Caenorhabditis elegans: one gene and its partner. The protein of the gene in region 2 interacts with the protein of the main gene of each other region in a pairwise test. Each region holds a gene or a part of one and is shown on either strand. Other genes may lie near its edges.

Region 1 (3,754 bases), on a different chromosome or scaffold from region 2:
GTCTTTTAAGCAGGCAAAACACAGGCGTAGGTATTGCAGGCAGGGACAAGACAAGCCTAGGTATTGTAGACAGGCACAAGACATACCTAAGTCTTTTAGGCAGGTACAAGGCAAGCGTAGGTCTGATAGGCAAGCAAAATTCAGTCGTAGGTATTGTAGGTAGGCCTGCTTTTCAAAAAAAAGTGTACTTAGAAAAAAATCGGGAGGCCAAAAAGTGTCGATACGTGTGTGTGTGTTCAAAAAGAGATCGGATCAAGAGGGGATTTCATAGATTCTATTTTTCAAAATTTGGATAGTCTTTGACCGAACAAAAGAGGGAATATAGTGAGACGTAATCGAAAGTGTTAGAACTTTTTTTTAACCTGTGGGATGATTGTCTAGTTTTTTGATGTACTCTCTCTCCTCTTTCTCACTCGCTCTCTGTGTGGTCATTGTTGTCTTAAATTTTGGCGCATAGTTTTTGGGCAAAAAAAGCAGGGAGACAGGCATTTGTGGATAGGCATGAGTTACCATAATATTGCCCAGATGTAAATTTTTGCGGTTTTGCAGTCTCAGAGCTCCCAATTTCATAAATTCAAAAAAGTGTGTACCTTTAAAGAGTACTGTAGTTCACAATTTCTCGTGACCTCTGGATTTTCAGATTTTTTCTAGTTGGTCTCCCGTTTCCTAAAAATGTTTACATATTACGGGAACACAAAATTCTGAGAATGCGTATTGCACAACAGATTTTACGCGAAAAATATCTCGAAGCGAAAACTACAGTAATTCTCTAAATGACTACTGTAGCGTTTGGGTCGATTTATCGGCTCGATTTTTGAAATTATTTTTTTCCATTAGTAGCAGTAATAATCCATCATCATCTTTTACTCTCTTACTCTCTTACTATCATCTCTTACTATCATCTTTTACTTCAAAAAATTTCAAAAATCGAGCCGATAAATCGACCCAAACGCTACAGTAGTCATTTAAAGAATTACTGTAGTTTTCGCTACGAGATATTTTGCGCGTCAAATATGTTGCGCAATATGCATTCTCAGCATTTTGTATTCCCGTAATACTAATGAAAAATATTTTCACATATCTTTCGATTTTTTTTACAGTACTCCTTAAAGGCGCGCTGTCTTTTGCAATGTAAAAAATTCGGTCGCTTCGAGACCTATTACCGTATTTCTGAAATTTTTCTCTGTTCAGAACGTTCAGTGACAACTAAAACCAATTTTTCCTCTGAAAATACAGAAAAAATTTGTGAAATTCTGTAAAAATGGGGGAATAAATATTTTTAAAACATGATGATCCCGTGAACGTGACCCTGAACTCCCGAAAATATCCACGTGGCTAATCCAACTCCCACATATGAACTTTAAAATCAAAAAATTTATTTCGCCGAAAGATGAGCCAAATGCAAAAATTGGGCTCGAAGAGCAAAGGTCAGAATCCGAATAAAGGGGATGAGGTGGAGATGCTTCGTGCCGGATTCAAGAACAAGCATGGAGAAGCTGTCAAATCGCAGGGACAAACCATGAATATTGAACTCTAGTAGGGGTTTTCCCCCTAGCTTCGGTGCGAATTTGAGAATAAATATTTTTACTTAAGTAAAAAGTATATACTTGAATATTTATTTAAATTTTTAATTAAATAAATGAGACCCCACAATTTGAGAATGCCTGAAACGAACCTGTGACTTTTCCAGAAAAAATCATTGTGAATTTCAATTAAAAAGTTTGAATATTGTTGGCTCAAATGAGTTACTATTATATTACTAATATTTCGCTGTTCAAAATACACTTTTCAGCTTTGAAAGTTATCTATTCCCTCACATTTCTAATTCCCACGTTTCTCCGTCTCCTTTCCATCGAGAGTTCTCAGTCCGCAATTTGTCGTCACGGTGTACATTTGCAGAAACACTTTCACTTGTTTGCAAGTGTTTTTTTGTTGTTCTCTCGGCGTCTCTGCTAATTTTTTCGGTTTTAACCAGTTTTAATGTTCCGAATTTAATAATTTTTGATTAAAAATCAAGGTTTCCAAGTTTTCAGGGTATTCCGATGGTCGATTCACACGGTTTGCAGTCGCCAGACGTCGTTGTGGAGAAATAGTGAGTTGGGCCAGGACGAATATCGATTTATTTATCGTTTTCCTGTATGGAAATTCAAAAATTCAAATGATTTACAGCACTATATCGAGAGAAAAGTCGTCGATTGGCTTCGAAATCGGCAATAATGTGACCGTTCAGTTGAACGCGCCATCGGACGTTGACAACGGGCGAGAACGGGATTCGTCGAATGCGCACACAAAAGTTATTATGGATCACAAGGGAGATGTAAGAGAATTAAAGAATTAAGAATCGTCAATGGGAAAATTGTTTAAAAATATAGTATTTGTACTCAAACTTCCAATTATTGCAAAAGAAAAACGGGAAAAATCCGCTAACATTCAGCAGTTTAAGTCAGAAAAATCGTCGAAAATGTAAATTTAAAGGGAGAGTAGAGTTTCTGGGTATTTTGCTCAAATAGACTAAAACTGGTCCAAAACCAACGAATTTCATAATGAGACTTCACAAAAACTTTCCAAAAATTTTTTATGGCCGGTCAAAATTTCAAAAAAAAGAGCCAAATTTTGCTAAAATCTGAAATTTCGCACACTTTTCTTTGTCACAGCCGCTGGATTTGAGTTTTTCTGAAATTATCACCCTTTAATCCTTATTTTAGTAATTTATCTCGCGGAAATTCGTTGATTGAGACAACTTTTTGGCCGATAGGATTCCAAAAATGATCAAAATTGGATGCCTATCGGCCTAAAAGTTGTCCCAATCAACGAATTTCCGCGAGATAAATAACCAAAATAAGGATTAAAGGCTGATAATTTCAGAAAAACTAAAATCCAGCGGCTGTGACAAAGAAAAGTGTGCGAAATTTCAGATTTTAGCAAAATTTGGCTCTTTTTTTTCGAAATTTTGACAATTTTTTTTTTGACAAAATTTTTGCCACGAGGATCAATCGAATCTTTCTAAGAAAGAAAACAAATTAAAGTTCGAAATAAATACATTTAAATCAATATTTCGTTGAACGAAAATGGCCTAGAAATCGTGTAGTGGCCTAGGTTTCAAATGCGCGCGAAATTCAAATTCAGCCACTTTCGTCGATTTCAACGGTTAAATGCTGAATATTAACGGATTTTTCCCGTTTTTCTTTCGCAATAATTGGAAGTTTGAATACAAATACTACATTTTAAAACAATTTCCCACATTGACGATACTCCTTTTTTAAAGTAAATTTAAAAAAAAAACACAGAATTTAAATACATTTTTTTATTTCAGATTCAATATCTACGCGGGAGAATTTTGACGTCAAACGGACCAATCGTCGGATTCCGCTCAATTCACGAGTCTGTCGGTGAATCCATGAACCTTATCAATTTGCAAACAAAGCAAAGGCACCGTTTTAAGGTTTAAAAGCCAAATTTTGATTTTTTAATTTAAAAATTGCTTCAGGACTTCCCATTCCGTACAATCGACCTTGCCTTCGCCCAACATCACAAATACCTCGCCGTGCTCAACGCCGACCTCTCACTTGTAGTATTTGAGGTGTCTGACAGATGCGATCCGTTAGTTATTCTACAAAATTGGAAAAAAAAATCCAGAAAAATCGAATTTCAATTATTTTCAGAAAGAAATACCTGTCGATCGTGAATTGGCCGTCATATCAATCACAGGGAAACGAGGATCAACCGAAACTCTCGTGGTGTCCGTATATTCAGG
Region 2 (3,754 bases):
AGAAACGAAACTGTTTTCAGAAATTCGAAAAAGAAGGATACACAACAAAAGAAAAAAATGGTGAAATAAAACAGAAAAATGGGCGATATTTCCAATGAGCAAAAAGATTAGTTGAGTCCGATCGTGTTCCAGAACTTGTTGAGCAATCCGTCAGGTGCCTTGCGAACCGATGGGGTTCCCTGTAAAATCTTTTTTAATTGGTTAGAAGGATTGAATCAATGAAATGCTTACGTTTGTTCTTTGATCGGCAGCCAATGGTCTCATTCCGACACCAGAACGGACGGAAATACGAGAAGAACTGAAAACATAAACAATTTTTTGTGGAAATATTAATTGAATTGTGAAAAATTAACTTTTTCTTTTTCACATTTTCAAAGTGGAGTAGCGCTAGACTACAAACTACAAACTTCGCTTTAGCAGATTCAAGTATAAAATTTAGATTTTTATGAATTTTTTACTAAAAATTTCTAATCATACTTGAGCGAGTTATTTGCATCAAAAACATTCGACGAGTTGAGCACACTGTTCTCATTGTGATTAACTGATTGATCGGCCATATCGTTCTCCACAAATGAGTTATACATGGAAGCAGATCGGTTTGCAGCTGCAGCAATGTTAGATGATCGAGCAACAATTCCGGATGCTGAGCCGTTGATCACGTCCTGTAAATTTTAAAATTAAAATAAAAAATAAATATATCCTTTTTACTTACCTTATTTGTGCACTGAACGACTCCAATAAATGTATCCTGATCGAGGAGAGTTCCGTTTCGAGAAATAGCTTGTTGAGCGTGTGTGACACACGAATAGCGCATATGTATGAAGTTTCCTTTTGATGGAGTCTGATGACTAACTACTTCCCCGTGCCGCGAGAATAAATTCAACAAAATCGACACTTGGCTTGGCTGAAATCCAAAAACAGTGACCCAGGTATCAGCTGCGTCGGCTTCTTCTTCCATTGGTTGTTCTTCTGCTTCAGCCAACCTGGATGTGACTCGTTGAGTGATTGGAGTGGAAAGTGGTGTTGATCTGGCAGTGAATGTATTTCGTCTGGAGATCTTTTTCGCTGGTTCAACTTTGTCGCGAAGAGATCGAAGAGGTGGTGCTGAAAATCAATTTTATTTTAAATATTCGCGAAAAAATGTAAATTCTAACCATGCATCGCTTGACCACCGAAAGATGATGTCTGAATCGACTGAGGAGCTGGCTTTGTCGGCGCCGAAAATGATGAATTTCCTCCGAAAGACAAGTTGGCAGGTGTATTCTGTGTTTGTGCCGCCGACTTTTCACCAGATTGCACCAAAGATGGAGACCAATGAACTGATTTAGAGCCCGGTGTATCCTTCAAATGCTGCGGCACTGCCGGTGCAGAAACAGCGAAAATATCCGAACATGGTGCCGATGCAGTGTTGAGCGGGCTAGCGGTGTCTAAATAATTATCATATTTTTGAGAAAACTTAAGATAAACTTTACTTACACGAAGATGGAACAGTTGCCTTTCGCTTTCCGAAAAGAAGTGCCGGCGTAGACTGTTCAACTGGTGTCCCGAAGCTAAAATTAGATTTTTAGTATTAAAAACTGGTTTTTTTTTTGCAAAATAAGAAACAAATTACTCACTTTGAAATACTAGAATTGTTGAGATCCATTGAGTTATGCCTTCCGGATGTATTTTGGTTAAGATGCGAGAACATGGCCTGAATTTCGAAATAAAATGCTTTTTAATTAAAAATTTAAGCAATAAACAAGTTTTTCAAATTTAAAATAAAGAAAGAATTGAAAAATACCGCTTTTTTAAAGTGGAAAACAGGTTCGAAAAGTTCCAAGAAAAAACATTTTTGTTTGAAAAATCAAAGTCCGCAACGACAAAACACGCAAAGCTACGCGCAATTGCGGACTTGAAAATGGAGGGAGTTTAAAATAGGGTTTTTGTGGTGAAAGTTTGCTGGGAGGTTTTCTGCGGGAAATAAAGAGAAAATTTTTTTTCTCTGATCGGATGTTTTGTAATTTTGATGAAGTCGATTTTCTGTTTGAACTTTGATTTTTTTTCTTCAACACTAGACACTGAAAAAAGTGAAATTCGTGTATGGGTTACTGTATAATACCGCCGACCCCTATAGTACATACCTATCCATAAAATATTGAATTCTAAAAAATTCTAGAAATTTAATTACACATTTCAGATGTTTTTGTTTTTATTTCCCTTTGACCTACTCCCTCGTCTAATTTTCGTTTTCAAATTTCAACGAGCACCACTCGTTTCTTCTCACTCCTCCTCGTTTTAATTGCAAAAAAAAACGGAGAAAATTGAGAAATGCACGACGACGGGGTCCCCCATTTAATTAAATTCCTTTTCTGTGTCGTCGACCTTTTTTTGTTGACCACACAGAGCACAACGTTCGGAGAGCTTCTTCCCGCCTCTTCATCAAATAAAATGAGAATTCATTCCTTTTTTGGGAAAGAAAAATGTTTCGTCGCGCACGACTATATAGCCCCCTGTGTCGTATAATATTTGCGGGTTGGTCAAAATGAGAAAGAAAAAAAACCAAAAGATGATGAATTGAATGAAAATTGTATTTAATATTAGTTTTCGGACCGAACCGGATGTAATTTATTTTCAGAAAATGTGGTTGGTTCTGACTGGAGCAGAAGTGGCGACCTGATGATGTAGTCAAACTTGCGCGTCAAATTTGGTGTTTTCGCCCCGCCTCTTAGAAGATGAGATTTTGATTTTTGAACTGAAACTTTCAAACTGTGATTCCCATAAAACCGTACGGAAATTACAATTTCCGTACTGTTACAAAACAAATTTTGGGATAGAGGGAATTATTACGTAGACGTCAAAATTGGGAAAATTTCGTAAAATCTTAGGTCTCGCCACGCCGAGTTACTGTAACTCGTCTCCATTTACGGGTAGCATAGTATCATAATTTTCAGATTTAATCGAAAATTGCTGTCAAGAATTTGAATATAATATTAAAAATGGCACAATATTGGTCCAGTTACAGTAACCCAATTTCAGCGTGGTGAGACCCGAAAACTTTCATCTTTAGACTACCACGTAATAACAGAAATTGAGAATAGAAAACGATGGTATTGGCCACACCCACATAACCGTGCGGAACTTGCAGATTTTGCAACCTCCGCAAGGTTCATTGAGCTCTCATTCTCATAACCGTGCGGAGGTTGCAAAATTTGCAATTTTCGCACACTCTTCTTCTCGTGGAGTACACATTCTCCGATTTCGAAATTTAAGAAAGTTTTTGGAGACGAGGTCACCTGGCAACGGGATCTATGAAGACTAGCGGAAGAACATTATAGCAACGATTCGTTTTTTTTTCGGCAATGTGTCCCAAGTGCATCCCTTTCCATCATTTTTCTTTTTTTATTCTACTCATCGTTCCATTCCACTTTCTTGTGTGTACGACAGCATTCATTCAATCCTAATTGGATGTGATCCTTCTGTGCCCCCCTCACTCACTCAACAAGTTGCTCTCGACGCTTCTTTTTCACATTTTTCTTCCTCTCTTCTTTCCTTTTAAAAGCACTCTACAGGATGTGTTGATGATGATGATGATGTTTTCTTTTTTCTCTATCTCTTCTCAATGCTTTTGAGATTTTTAATGAGTTCTAAAAATGGAAACGTGTGCAGCGCTAATAGAATTGAAAGCTCAACATTTTCATAATCACATTTTGTCTCAGGCCACCGAAATTAATATTAATTGTAAATTCTATATTTAAGACAAAGTTGCTCCTTT

What was found.
Region 1: the proteins of npp-19 (region 2) and edc-4 interact in a two-hybrid assay, tested with the Caenorhabditis elegans proteins (one large-scale study listed by BioGRID).

Annotation. Positions count from the first base shown.
Region 1 is NC_003279.8:3,348,180-3,351,933, reverse strand, and holds the start of edc-4 (FHA domain-containing protein), read left to right. Parts: upstream 1-2,042; coding exon 2,043-2,092; intron 2,093-2,169; coding exon 2,170-2,317; intron 2,318-3,313; coding exon 3,314-3,442; intron 3,443-3,487; coding exon 3,488-3,600; intron 3,601-3,662; coding exon 3,663-3,754.
Region 2 is NC_003280.10:10,796,787-10,800,540, forward strand, and holds the start of npp-19 (Nucleoporin NUP35), read right to left. Parts: upstream 1,694-3,754; 5' UTR 1,691-1,693; coding exon 1,617-1,690; intron 1,551-1,616; coding exon 1,477-1,550; intron 1,428-1,476; coding exon 1,155-1,427; intron 1,105-1,154; coding exon 713-1,104; intron 663-712; coding exon 478-662; intron 299-477; coding exon 232-298; intron 189-231; coding exon 108-188; 3' UTR 1-107.